Linked DNA regions of Struthio camelus. The protein of the gene in region 1 interacts with the protein of each later gene in a biochemical or structural test. Links are inferred from orthologs where the notes say so. Each region holds a gene or a part of one and is shown in the gene's direction. Other genes may lie near its edges.

What was found. The genes of interacting proteins can lie anywhere in the genome.
Region 2: the proteins of SPI1 (region 1) and IRF8 form a complex in vitro, tested with the Homo sapiens proteins (3 studies listed by BioGRID). The link is inferred for Struthio camelus from reciprocal best matches to the Homo sapiens genes SPI1 and IRF8.

What each region holds. Positions count from the first base shown.
Region 1 is NC_090946.1:39,185,416-39,192,388, forward strand, and holds the start of SPI1 (transcription factor PU.1), read left to right. Parts: upstream 1-3,912; 5' UTR 3,913-4,292; coding exon 4,293-4,337; intron 4,338-6,973. UniProt on the Homo sapiens protein: Pioneer transcription factor, which controls hematopoietic cell fate by decompacting stem cell heterochromatin and allowing other transcription factors to enter otherwise inaccessible genomic sites.
Region 2 is NC_090951.1:3,629,745-3,637,412, forward strand, and holds the start of IRF8 (interferon regulatory factor 8), read left to right. Parts: upstream 1-4,631; 5' UTR 4,632-4,849; coding exon 4,850-4,887; intron 4,888-5,801; coding exon 5,802-5,976; intron 5,977-7,097; coding exon 7,098-7,281; intron 7,282-7,668. UniProt on the Homo sapiens protein: Transcription factor that specifically binds to the upstream regulatory region of type I interferon (IFN) and IFN-inducible MHC class I genes (the interferon consensus sequence (ICS)). Can both act as a transcriptional activator or repressor.

The sequences.
Region 1 (6,973 bases):
AGTTCCTACTCTCTCACTATGGAAATATGCAACAAAGATATTTCAACTCATATCTTCCAACTCAGTAGTCGTATATGTAACAAAGTTAAATGCAGAAGACTGCCCCTGACTCCACAGATTCCACAGTGAGAGAGATCCATAGGCTCTTAAGAGAAGAGCGCAAACCCCACATGGCATCTGAGTGGATGTTAAGGTTGAAGGATGACACGTAAGACCCACAAGCCATGCGATCTCTGGGTAAAACAAGTTCAACAGTAACAGTTCTGGGAAGAATATGCAAGATATAAGGGGATCTCTTGTTTAGAGGTCTGATCTTCCTGTTACAAGCAAACTCAGTAGCAGAGTCTGTGTAAACACCTGTTTCTGATTAAGAGGCTTCAGGATGAGTGATGTTTTATGTGGTTTCAGTAGGGAGAAAAAGTACCTTGTGAGCACCAAACAAGGTTTGAGGTAAAGGGACCTCTTTGTGATGTGGCTGTGAGTTGAAAACCTTTTGCTTTGGTAGCTTGTGGTTAGAAATAGTTTGAAGAATAAATGGGTAGAGGTAGGGGAAAAACTGCCTTCAGAAGTATCTGAGGCACACAGTGAGGTGATGTTTAGGGGGAGAATAACTCAGATTAAAATCACAGAATCACAGAATGGTTGAGGTTGGAAGGGACCTCTGGAGATCATGTAGTCCAACCTCTCTACTCAAGCAGGATCGCCTAGAACATATTACCCAGGATTGTGTCCAGACAGCTTTTGAATATCTCCAGGGAAGGAGACTCCACAACCTCTCTAAGCAGCCTGTTCCAGCACTCAGTTACCCTCACAGTAAAGAAATTTTTCCTCATATTCAGATGGAACTTCCTGTGTTTCAGTTTGTGGCTGTTGCCTCTCGTCCTATGAAAGTTAAATGTTTTCAGAAATTTAATCTTTCAGCTGAGCAGGTTTTTCTCCAGTCCCCCAAATTCCCATCATGGAAAAGGATCCCTAGCCTACTTTAAAAGCCTTTTTAAAGGTCAGATTACACTCTGTGAGGAGCACCAACATCATACAGAGTATAGCTTAGAAATTCATGTATCTTGGGTCGAATTACTTTTTCCTCCTGTTTATTCCAAACAATATTGTTAAACTCATCTTCTTCTGCCACCTTCCCTTCCGAGAATTTCTGCTGGCTCCCATTCTGCTTTGGCATCAAGTTCAGACTACTGGTCCTCATCCTCAAGGCTCTACATAGTTCTCATCCCTGCATCTCATTTATTTCTTCCTCTACTTGCTCTGCCAGCATTCATCACCAGTAAATACCTTTATGCTTTTTGCCAGACCTTCTTATTGCCTGAATCAGCATCACTGATACTATTTTCCAGGCAACTTTATTCCGCCTGTTGTAATTAATTAAATCAATATCTGCCTCTCTAATCTGCCCCCGCACTGAAGACATACCAAAATGTTTTAGAATAAAGGTAAGCATTTAGAATTACAACAAACAAATCTGGAAGCATCTCACTACAGTAAGTGATGAATGTATTTGCATAAACACTCTCCTTCATTAACATGTTTGAGTTTTTTCCATTTTTAAAAAAATATTATTTTTAAAGTAAAACCTTACAGCATCTCAGGATAGGAACTGGATTGGTTTGTGAACTGCTAGGTATTGGGTAAATAACAGAGATTATTAACAGAGACCCTGGAATTTCAGACATAAGTTATAAAGAGAGGGGAAAAAAAAAGTGATAAAAATGACTTGAGATAGGCTAAAAAAGACATATATAAAAAGTCTGGTAATTATTTATATGCACTCAGATATTTTTGATGGGCATTTTGATAGACAACAGTGAAACTATTCTTTTAGATTCTGTAGTTCAAGAATGTATTAAAGCTGTATCTGATAAGCACCTCTCTACTAATTTGGTAATTTCATATGTTGTTGTTCTATGTGTAAGTCATCAAATAAAGCACTGCAAGGACCTGGGCCAAAAGTAGGCATTCTTTTAAGGGTGAGAAAATTCTATGATGACAAACAGGGGATAAAAACCCAGTTAAATCTAGGTTGAATTTTAGCAAGATTGTTACTAGTAATGTTCCTATACAGATACAGTACTGTAAACAAGCATTTTATTTAACTATTAGCATTTCCATTTATGGAGATACTCTCCTTCCTAGGAAACTAATTCAACTTCTGGACTTCCTGCTGTTCCTCAAGCTTTATGATGTCTTATTTTCTTCTAATTCATTACATAGAGAATCAATTTGATTATTTATGTTGATAACCTTGGTATGTTTATGATTACTCCTGGTCATTAATGTTGGTCCCTAAGTACAGTAAAGCTGGTGCAAAGTATGTATCCTTATTAGGTAATTTCCTGTGCTAAGAGACAGCATTGAAATATCCTCCAGTGTATTAAATATAGTTATGTTACACTTTAATAAAAGACCCTCTCTGGAACACACTACATTTTTATGCCTTCCAGTAGCTGTTTAAGGTAGATTTCAGTGTATTAAGAGTCAGATGTCTTCTCTGTTCAGAATAGCATTTTTAATATACGTACAATTGCCACAATGACTTTTATCATCTATTATCCAATTATCCATTTTAAGATTTATTTATGTTACTGTTCATTCCTTTCTGCTCTGTTTTTATTGATTTTTATCATCAATACTTTATTTTGCTTCTCTCCTGTTCCGCCAGGTAAACCTGGTATCTGCTAGGCTGGCATCGAAAGAGAGACTTGAGAATTACCTCAGAGACAAAACTGGACTGTTTAGCAGTTTATTCATTTCTAGGTTAACGTGAAGATTTTTGGTATCAGTAAAATAGGACTGAAATGCATATGGATCAACTAATGCTGATGAAATTCAGTCTGGGGCTTCAAGAGTTAATCTCCCATCATGTTCTCAATCTTATCCCATTGCTAATACGGTTTGCTTGTAGGGTTCCTTAGGGTGGGGAATGAGAGGAACTTGTGAGTGGCCTCTGGTTTTACCAGTGTATGAGGGAGGAAGTTTGCAGTGGCTGAAATTCCCCCTCAGACATAGACCCAGGTGAGTGGTGAGCAGGCTACTTTCAAAAGCAGAACCTGTGGCACATGGGCATAGATTGAAGGGGAACAACCCAGACAAAGAAACTTCACTTTTCCAAAATATTAGTAACTAACTGCAAAGCAAGAAAGCATTTTGCAGAGTGAGAGAGTTCTTCCCTTGTTGCAAGGGCCCAGCCCCTCAATCCTGCACTGTGGCCCACTCACTCATGCCTCTGCCAGAACCATTCGTAAGAAAGGCACATGTTCAGTGCAGCCAAATGCAAGCAAAACAGGAGGATAAAGAGATGGGAAAACACCACATAAGAAGAAGAGCAGAAGAAAGAGAAATTTCAGTATCTGACTTTTCAGATACACTTCTACAGCTCTGTTCTCTACTCACTGTTAAAGGCACTCTTCTGGGATAAGTAGAGGCCATGACATAGGACTTGTTGCCCACTTGCTTTCTCCTTGCAGGACCTAGAAAAGAAATCATAAAAAGCAAATAAGAGGACTCAGTGACTTTCACTGAACTATTTCACTTTATAAACAAGTTTGTAAAGAAAGTCGCACTGGCATAGCTTTAATTTTCTGTAGAAACCAAAGACTATGATAGTTGAGACTGTATACTCTTTTTTCCCCTTCTGCTAATTATTTCCCCTTCTGCCACTTCATTCCAGCATAAGACTATCATTAAAGCAAGTCTGTGCCACTGCATTATTCTCACAGCAGTTGTCAGGACTGTAGCTCTATGCTACATCACTAAACCCGAGAGCAGCGACATCATTATGGTTCATCTCCAGTGGGAAGCACATAGTCTTCCACAGTCAGTAAGAACACTGTACCCGTATGCTTGCTTATTGGTAGTAGGCCTGGGCTCTGGGTTGCTGATTATAAGTAAGCACCTGCCCATGGCAGATCTGGCTAAGGGCAGACTTCCTGTTACAGTGCCGCAGCTCCTTGAAATGAGATTTATGCAAACCGGCTAAAAGCTGTGATGTCACAGCGCACTGATAGACCCAAGGGCTATCTCCCTTCTACAGACATTTGATAAAATCAGGAACTTCAGATACAACTCGGGAAGAAGTTCACCTCAGAGCCTATTAGGGCAAACTATGAAAACTTGTTAGGGTCTTTCTCCAATCCTGAGATCCATTACTGCAAGGGGACTTCAGAGAGTCCAAGGATCTCACTTTCGTTGTGTTTTTTTGTTTGTTTCATGTGATTTTTTAAGTCAGTTATTCTGGATGTTTGAAAACTGAATTAAGAAAAATTCACTCAGAAGTTGGCTGAATGTTGCAAGCTTGCAAAATGGAAGGATTTCCCCTCATTCCCCCTGTGAGTATATGGGGTTTATTCCTAATATGGATGATTGGGCTCAGTAGCAAAAGACAAAGTAAACTAGGTTTTATTATTTGAGAATGTCTCTCTTTTGGTCTGTATTTGTACAGCAAGGAAGTTGGCAATATATAAAGCTAGTGACAACGTTGCAATGAATGGGGAATTAACATTTCCTCCCTAAACTTGTATCTGATTTTGATCTCCAGTTATTTTCAAAGATTAAACTCATGGTATTTTTGTAGGGTATACGTATAGCAAGCCAGTAAAATTTTTTCTTCCTTATTGCCTTTGCAGTATAAGGCCAAGTCTTGCTTCAGGTTGTAATTATTAATTAGTTTTGAGACTCTGACATAGTTTATGTATTAAATATCTACCAATCTATGAGAGAAGAGTTGCCGAATGCTGCTTTTACATTTTGCAGACTTCAGGTCTTTGTGCTCTTTGTAATGATAGAATTCTAGTCTCTAGCTTCTCTTGCTCATATTTTACATTGCATATTTTGTGACTTTTATTTAAAATATAAGCCAGGAAATAACCCTGAATCATTTTGAACATATATGGATGCACTTGAAAACTTTCCTATTTCAGGCAAGTAGTGAAGTGGCGAGAGCAAAAATAAAATGGCCCTTAATTGGGTCTTTCGATATTTTCTCCTAGTTACAAATTTTTCTGTATGTTTATACAGTGTTTCTGTTCTTTCTTTAGCTCTGCAGCATTTTTACACTTTTACATTGTGGTCAGTTTGGGGATTATTATTTGTGAAGTATATAATCTCACTAACCAGCTGTTCAGAAACAAACTGTAATGGGACATCTCAAGATAGAACGGGTAAAATAGGCCCTAACAAGATTTGCTAATTCCGTAGTAGCTGAAAAGATGGTCAGAGAAGGTGTTTTACTTGGCCTTTTACGTGGTAGATGACATATGGTATTTGCTATGTGTGTTCGGAAAAGAGAGTAAGAGACAGTGCAACTCCAAGAGTACTCTAATCAAATTTGTATCATGCTTTCTTTTTGTCTTGTCCCATCTAATGAAAGCTAAAGGCACGTTTCTTTATTTTCTATACAGAAAGATGGCCCTTTGAATTCCTTTCATGTTTTGTATCCACATTGAATAAAAAAATACTTATTTGCGTGAAATCCATTACTCTAGCAGTTCATCAGCTCATGGCCACGAAATCCTTTATTCACCCGCAGGGTGAGAAGACCCTAAGAAACTTCTTTTGTTTTCTTAAATACTCAAGTTACCCAGTGGATCTACTGTAAATATGTCAGGATAAGAATTTGAAAAGAAACTGAGAAAATGAAAACATTACATAAAGATTTCTGAATATGTTATTTGTTGGGCTTAAAAAAACAAGAAAAAATCTTGTCCTCCACTAGCATCTCCCATTATTTTTACTAATAATGTTCATTTTCTGTCTACTCATTTCCTCATAGCCACCCTCTGTGTCCCATTTCTTCACTCTTGAAGTTCAGCGCATAGATTGAATAAATGGAGTGAAAATCCAACACAGTCTGGCTCATATTCTAATTTTTGTTGTAGAAAAGTATTCTGGCTGAACTCTGCTCAGGTGAATGAGGTAACAGGCAGTGAAAATGAAATCACATCTTATAGGAATGCTTGACAGGGCAATTTGTTTTGGGTTTTTTTTGTGATTAATATGTTCAAAAATGAAAGCTTTGTGTTTTGTACTTCCAAAATTGTTTTAAATGTACTTGATCTGAGTACTGACAGTTACAGCCCCACATGGCATCATTATAAAAGTCTGTGCCTCCTGGGACTTTCTTCAGAGGGGCGACATTAGCCCGTTTCTAGACACAGGGTTTCTGTGAAGCACTACTTCCCTCCTCTGCCCCTCCCCTTTCAGTTGAGGGTGGATTGGTAACTGCCTTCCTCTTGACTATGCTAGAAGACTCTTAACCTTCGTTTGAAAAGTGCCACTCAAATGGTTTAAGAGTTATTGCATCTTTCTTTGAAGATTAAGAACTTTATATGGAAAAGTCCTGCAAACTGAGCCCATGTCTTTTAATACATAATAGAATCTTGTATCAGTTGTGCTACTGGGCAGAAAACTAATAAAGCAAACACCTTCCTCTAAAGAGGCCCCCAGGTTACCTGTGAATCCCTAAGTAGCCACCTGTAGTACTCAGCTTGGAATGGAGATATATTTGTATGAGAGCGAAAATGTACCTTATAAGCATTCTGTTTCACATAAGTGCACCTCCAAGGTGGTCCTGTGAGGCTGGCCCAATGAGTGCTCATGTTAATATTTATACTCATCTTTTCTAAAATAGTTATACTGTAAATTTTTCCAAGGAAATAGGTTAATCTTGGCCTTCAAACTTGTCTCAGCAGCACATCATTGGAAACTGTGTGGAGTATTTCTGAATCACATGCCAACGAATAGTTATGTCAGGATAACAAAAAAAGATCAGAATTCAATGCATTTGTAATCACCTGGAATCATCTGACAAAGTTTAAGTGAACAATAGGAATTTTCAAGTTGTTATTCAGTTGAATCCTCTGTATCTCTCTCAACCAATGCCAGCTATGCTCTACCCAAATAGTTTTGTGCCTTTTCCCTTGTTGCAACAACTTCGTCTAGATTTTCAGGATAAAGAAGGAAACTG
Region 2 (7,668 bases), on another chromosome or scaffold:
TTCTTCTTATTTCCATGTTGCTAAGAGCTCTCCGCTTCAGTGCTCAGCTCTCTTGTGCTCTGTGAGCTATATCGCCAGCCTGGTGGTGCCTCTGGCACGTGGGAATTGCTCTAGCGAAGTGCAAATGGGCTTACCAGGTTGTTCTCACCCAGGGAAGTAGTTTGAAAGAAATTCTGTGCTGCACTGCTTGCCCTGGCGGGTCTGTCTCAGCACTTTGCGTTGCCAGTGGCTGTCGGGAAGCCCGTGGCTGCCCCAGGGCATCTCCCACCCCTTCCAGCGCCACGGTTCCCACGCTGTGGGAGCGGGACCTGCGCTATTGCGCAGAGGCGGATTGCCCAAGCATCTGAAAAAGCTGCAATTGGGTTTTGGGGAGGCTGTTATTCCTGCCTCTCGGTGATCGCCCTCCTGCCGCCGGGATCCACCTTGCCCGGGGTTCCTCATCGTGTCGGCTGCCGCGTCAGCGGGGCCGGGCGGGGAGTGGGCTGCACATCTAGGGAAAGCGATCCAGGAGCGCGGCAGCCCCTAAGGCCCCTGCGCACTGCGCCGCAGCTGGAGAGGGCTGAGCTGAGCGAGGAACGTGAACCGCAGCCCTTGGCATACAGGGCTTTATTAAACCACGCCGACGTGATGAGGGAGTCCAGTCCTTTTGGCATAATAATTTGGTCGTGGTATGAAGCAGCGCAGCCACTTCAGCTTTGGCTCTGATTTTCCCTGTGCTTGTTATTTGTGTGGTTCTCTGAATTTCTTTGCAATTACTTCCAGGCTATCTACAAAGTCGTGCAACCAAAATGAAGCCAGAGGTGGTGGGACCAACCCTGTTGGCTGCAGGATTGCATTTAGTCCTACTTCTCTGCCTCCATCTCCTTGGTCTCCAGATGGGACAAAGGGATCGACAGGCTTCGTTATAGGAAACCCCTTTAAAATATCCCAAACATATCACATCTTTTTGAAAAGAAACATTTTTAAACTCTGATTTTCAACATCAGATAGAGCTGGGACCAGCTCCTGCCGTTGCCTCCCACGCTGGTTGCTGGCCGCAGGATGTGCAGGGCGTTCGGGGAGGCAGGACGGCGGGTCCCTGGTTGGGGGAGACCCCAACTGCAACGCTTAACTCAGCTCTCGTTGAAAGCAGAAATAACCGTCTTAACTGGATCTGATTGCAGGGGGTGTTTTTGACTCTCCCCACATCTCACAGGGATGTCTGATTAAGATCAGCTGGATGTTTAAAAAGATGGGCTAGTACAGCAGTTTCTTGTTAAAAATTACAGTAAAGGTCGTGTGCCTTAGATCATTGTTTTCATTATACCAGCTGTACCGCGCCATACATTTCCCATTTCGCTGTATTACCCACGGGGGAGTAATTATGGTTTTCTTCCAAGAAATGCGTGTGTCATCTGGTGATCCCAAAAATAAATAATAATTGGGAGGGGGGAGGGGGGAGACAGCAAAGCCCCGAACCCAGGCGGCAGATAGCCTGAAAGCTCTGCAAACGGCCCGGGCGGGGGTATAGGCACCGCAGGTAGCACTGCAAAGGGCCGTGGAGGTTTTGGTGCGGGCGCGCGGATAGGAGGCAGAAGAAATGCCTCCTAGCGGGTAAGAGCGGGGGGTGCCCGACGGGGCGGTGAGGGGCGGTGCGGTGCGGGTCCGCGCCGTCGAGGCCGCCCCCGCGCCGGCGCCCAAGCCTGATTTCTCGGAAAGGCGCGCGCTGCGGAGAAAGCGCCGGGCACCGCGCGCTCGCCATTGGCCGGCCGGCCGGGAGGGCGGCTCGCCATTGGCCGGACGGGCGGCGAAGGCGGGGCGGCCGCGGGCCCGCCCCCTGCGCCCCTATAATGCGGTGCGGACGCCCCGGCCGCGGGCGCTGGTGCGGTGCGGAGCGAGCGGAGCCGGCAGGTAGCGGCCGGGATCGGGGCCCCCTTCTTTCCCCCTCCCCCCCCCAACTGCCGCGGGTCTGGCAGCCCTGGGGACTCGTGTGAGGGATGCCGGGGACAGGGGACCCAGAGGAGGGGATGCGAGCTTGTAGGGACACAAGGGATGTGGGGTGCTGAGTGCTTGGGGGTTGTGAGATGTCGGGCGCTCGGGATGCGTGAAGTTGGGATGTGGGGCACTGGAGGTGCATGAAATGGGGTTGTGGGGCATTAGGGGATGCAGCTGGGGATGCACAGAATTGGAGTGCAGGGCGCTTGGAATGCATAAAATGAGGATGTGGGACATTAGGGATGTGCAAAATTGGGTTGCATGGCACTGGGGTTGCACAAATGAGGTTGTGGGGCATTAGAGTTGCAGCTGGGGATGTGCAAAATTGAGGCACTGGGACTGGGTGAAATGTGGATGCAGGGTGCTGGGGACACGGGGGCTGCAGGCTGGTTCCTGCAGTCCTGTGTGGGGAGGGGAGGCCTGTGACTGCTTGGTGCTGAGTGGTGCAGGGATCCTGGGCAAAGCCACCCCAGGGCCAGCTGGGAAGGACAGGATGCAGCCGGAGCATGGGCTGGGGAGTTAGCTCTGGCGCAAGGTCCAGGGCTATGCTCTGTGGTTGGGGAGGGGGCAGCGAAGCAGCAAAGGACCCGGGGCTGCAGGGATGGATGCAAACTGCCACCCTAGTCTTGCTGGGCATTGCGTGGAGATGGGGCAACACAGGGTGGCGGAGCCTTCCTCCCCGGCCCTCCGGCGGGGCCGGGCTCCAGCAACGCCACCGGGGCTCTGCTTTGGGCTGGCGGCAAGCAAGCGGCGTGCCGGCACCAGGTGGGCTCTGGGCGATGCAGGCACTGCCTGGGGAAGGCAGGTACGATCGCGTCTGGGAAGCCAGCGGTCAGGCCTTGTCACGCACCTTGTGTCGCAGGCGTTGGTGCCAAAGAGCTTGCCTAGCCTTTTGGCAAGGGGAAATGGAGCCCTGTCCTCTGCCAGTGATGGAAACAAGTCAAAATGAAGGGTTTAGGAAATACCCATTTGAATGGGAGTCTCTTCTAATTCATCCCGTTTTCTAGAAAGCATAACTCGGAGTGAGTTGTTTGGTGCGAGAAGCCCACTGCGAACGGCCTGTAGCTCTGGGTAGATGCTCCTGTGGGCGCTTTGGGGCACCGGGTTCCTGAAGGGGCCACTGGGACATGGAGCTGTGCCCCCATGTCGCTTTGGCTGTTGATGTTGGGAGCCTGGAACGTGGCCGTGTGCTTGCCCCTAAAAGCAGGGGCCAACCAGCCCCTAAAGGGCAGGGGCGGTGCTGGAGCTTCTGGCAGCGAAGCTGGTGGTGCCTGTGATTGCGCAGGAATAGGGTGGCCAAGATGGAAAAATGGACATCGGTAGGTGCTTTGCTGATGGGAGCCTTGGGCAGGGCAAGGTCCAGGTCCCAGGCTGTGCCGAGAGCGTCCTGGGAACATCCTGCTCCTCTCCCTGCCCCATGGGGTAGCTATTAAAAAAAAAAAAGGGGGAGGGGGAAGGGGATGAGGGGGATAGAGTCCCCTAACACTTAGAGAAGGAGAAAACTAAGCAACTCAAAGCCACAGGCCGGGTGGGTGGGGAGAGCGTGCCTCCGACTTGGAGCATTGTTAACCTACTTTACCGCTAGTGATGCGTCTCTGGGCCCTCCCAGTGCTGGGAATCTCCTGACTTCTCCCAAAGGCCCGGAGGGTTGGCGGAGGGACGCTCCTCCACGTCCCAGGGCTGCTCAGCTGGCGATGCTGGCTGGGGTGTGTGCTGCAAATTGCTTTTACATGATTGCTAGGTCCTGGACGTGGTCCGTGCTGTGAAGTCCCTGCAGGTCTTGCTGTGATGGGGGGGCACCTGGTCAGGCTGGGTTTGATGCTTTGCTTCCAGCTCAGTAACCTGGGTGCGCTTTTCTTGCGGGCTCTCCATAGCTACGTAGTCACCTTTGCTCCAAACGAGCCCAAGTCTGCAGAAAGGGTGGCTCTGTCTCACGGGTCTGTCTGTCCGTGGGCCTGCCGTGCTCGAGAGGATGTGGTTGTGTGACCCCAGGCGCCTTGGTGTGTGCTACCCGCCGTGCTGGACCGGCGGCCGCCCTGGAAACGCAGCCCTGAAGCACCTTCCCGGTCAGAGGGGACCTTGGCCACGAAACTGCTGCTTTGGGCAGGATGTGCGTGTGTAATGGGGAGGAGGATCTCGGGACAAATATGCTCAATTTTTGTTGACTTTGAGCGTGCAGAGCAGGTAGACTTGGGACCTCCTTGGTGCTTTGCAGCTGGTTTGCACTGCGGGATCAGGGCAGGTTTTAGGTGTTTTGTTTCTCCCTTTTCCTATCTGTCTTGTGCAAAGTCAGCTCTGAAGAGCTGGTACGTGAGCTCTTTGCGTACTGGCAAAGCCGACCCTCAACACCGGCGTTGGCTGAGGCGCAGCTGGCTCGAAGCTGGCAGCGCGATCGGGTGGCACCGGGCTGGGGACGCCGGTCGCCTTCAGTACAGCGCTGGGGCTGGAGTCCTGCGAGCAAGAGGAAACTCAGCTGCTAAGTATAGCACTGGGCTGCGTGCAGAAAAATGAGCTGACTCTGAAGTCCTCGCTGCTTTTGCTTTGAGTTGTGACTTAATCCTACTTCCCCCCCCCCTCCCCGCTAAAAGGGAGGGGGTTGCATGGGATGTGGGGGGATCTGATGCAGAAATCCTGCCCTTTGGGCCACTGCAAGAGATGCTAAAGGGCAGAGTGTGCCGATAGCTTAGAGCACTTGGTTTCTGTCTCTTATGGACCTAAATGGCCATCCACCCCAGGACAGTCTGTGCAGCGTCACTTGTTTAGGTGACAGCACAACCAGGCTCTTTAATTTCTGGCTCTGTAGCTCATGCACGACATGTCACACAGCCAAAAAAATGAGTAAACAGAGTCATTTTGTTTTCTGCGACCGGAGCACATGGGCTTTGATCAAAGGAGCTGGGAAAGGAATTTAAAGTAATTCAGATGAAGAAAAAAGAAATCCTCCAAAAATACAGCATGCTATTGTTGCCATGCCTACGCCGTCTCAAATAGAGGCGCTTTTCAGCAGCGCTTCTGGAGGGTCTGAACGGGCTGCTTGGGGCTTTCATCGTCTTCCTTATCTCTCTTGCAGGCGCTTGTCCAGCGCGAGGGGAGGAATTATCACATCAAAGATGCCATGCGGAAATGCTGGCGGGCCGCGTGCGTGGCTGCCGGCACGGGGAATTCCAGCTGCTGTTCTTGGTGTGCCCGAATCCGGGGAAACGGATACCAGCGAGCATGGCTGTCCCGGCCTCGGGCTGTCCGGGAGGGCTTTGGGGCAGATGATGGCCCTGCAGAAAGCTGTTTTCCAGGAGGGGAGGGTGCTGCTAAGGGGCTATTAGAAGCCGCTTGCAGAGATACTGCCTATATATATATAGGCAGTATTTTTTTCTCCTTAAAAAGGAGGGAAGCTGTAAGCAGCCTGAAGCTGTTTGTTGCTGCAGGCGTTGCTATTTCCAGGTGCAACCATGATGGACTAAAGCAGAGTGTGGTCACTTGTACCAAAATTGCTTTGCTGCTTTTTTTTCCCCCCCTCTCCTGGAAATCGCATTGCCGTCTGCAGGCTCTCTAGCAGGCTGATCCCCTGCTCTGGTGGCAGGGACTGCTTGTAGTCATGTTGGCTAAAAATACATATCAACATGGTAAAACACATCCGTACCCTAGTTCTTTCTAGAGAAACATGGAAATGTAGTAGCTCTTTTCCAGTGCTAACGGATAAGTCACTGTGTCTCTGTGCGGTTTTCCGTGCCACGGTAGCACCGTTGGGGCTGGGATAGTAGATATCCCCGCATAACGAGGTGGGATTACTCGGGGTGGTTTAACAGATGCCGGCGACGTCTCGCTTCCAGGATGTGCGACAGGAACGGCGGGAGACGGCTCCGGCAGTGGCTGATTGAGCAGATCGACAGCGAGCTCTACCCTGGGCTGATCTGGGAAAACGAGGAGAAAACCATGTTCCGCATCCCCTGGAAACACGCTGGGAAGCAGGATTACAACCAGGAGGTGGATGCCTCTATTTTCAAGGTAGGGCAGGATGGCTGATCTTGTTTTCTTGATCCCTGTGTGCCGTGATGCTGTTTTTTGTTGCTGACGGACTTGCCTTTGGCCGGTGATAAACATCCTCAGTTTCTGCAGATTTTGCAGATTTGCTCCTTCCAGGAGATGCCTCGCCACGTCCCGTTATGTGGGAATGAATCTCCAGAGGGCTTGTGTGGGGGTTGTTTGGATCTTTTCTGGCAGCTGCCTGATTTGGATTCATTTTCAGCATGTTCTCATTCTGGTCTGCTGTGAGGAGGAGCTGAGTATGCTCTTTTTGACCTGGTCTAATCTTCCCACGAGACTTTTTGAGGAAAGAATGGATCGACAAAAAGGCCTTAGGGGAAGGAAGGAAGGGTCAGCTTTCCTCGGGTGGAGAGACTTTATACTTTGGGGAGGGGGGAAACTGGAAAAGCCTTTCTTGAACCCAAAAGGTCAAAGTCTTTTGCAGGAATCCCCTTGCCTTCTACTTGCATCTCTAAATGTCTCCCCTAGCAGGTGGAGCTGTCTTTCAGGGCAGTAACAGCTAATTCAGGGCTAGTTCAGGAATGCCGAGCTATGAAGACAGCAAGGCTGTGTTGAATTCAGACATCTGAATATATGTGTGTGTATGTAAAAGTCTTCATTATTTGGTGGGAAAATGTATTTTCCCATTTTTTCCCCTCCTCTCTACCAAAAATTCAAAGAGCATTCGAATCTTAAAATAAACCAGCCTTCACTTACTACTTGGAAGCTGGGAAATAGACGTTTATTCTGATTTTAATTTGGATGTTAACAGATCGTGAAAACCATCACTACTTCAGATGGGTTTCCTTGTATCCCAGACAGCTTTCCCTCATCTGTCAGTGCAGGGGTGAAGTCATGTGTTACAATCCTGGCTCTAGTTTAAGCTGTGGTATAAAAGGCACTGGGCTAAATCTGGCTCACTTAGGCTGGCATAATTGTTTGGCAGAGATTTGGAGCATACGACTTAATGTCTAAGCTCTCTGGGGCTTTTAAATCTGAGTGCAAGAACCTCTGCTTCCAAAGCATAGAGGCACGTCCAAGCCAGTTAGCCCTCGGCGTTCAAATCTGCTTCTTCAGCTCTGGGCTTTGTGCTTTGCTCCTAGGCCTGGGCCGTCTTCAAAGGCAAGTTCAAAGAAGGTGACAAAGCAGAGCCAGCCACCTGGAAGACGCGGCTCCGCTGTGCCTTGAACAAGAGTCCTGACTTTGAGGAGGTGACAGACAGGTCCCAGCTGGACATCTCTGAGCCCTACAAGGTCTACCGGATCGTCCCAGAGGAAGAGCAGAAGTGTAAGTGTCCAGATGTGGGACTGACCCGAACGTCAGTTTGCAGCTGGGACAGGCCACAGCTCTCCTGCAAGTAACCGCAGGCGAAAACAGAAGTGGCCTCTTGCTGCTGACCTACATTTAGGCACTGAGCTGTGCTTCCTGGGCCGGGTCTTGCTCTCGCACCCCTGTGCTTTGGCCCCGGCACCTGGGGATGTGCCTGGCATCGCCACGTCGGCTGGCAAGGAAGGACGTGCTCTCTTTCCCTAAGAGCTGATCCTACCTGGAGTATCGCGTGAGCTCCTGTCCTGTAAGGATTCAGATGCTACTTGTCAGCAAAGAGAAAAGGAGAAAAGCCCTTGCTGAGATGTAAAGAGCCTCCCTGTGGGCTGCTGCAGAGCTCGGGATCCA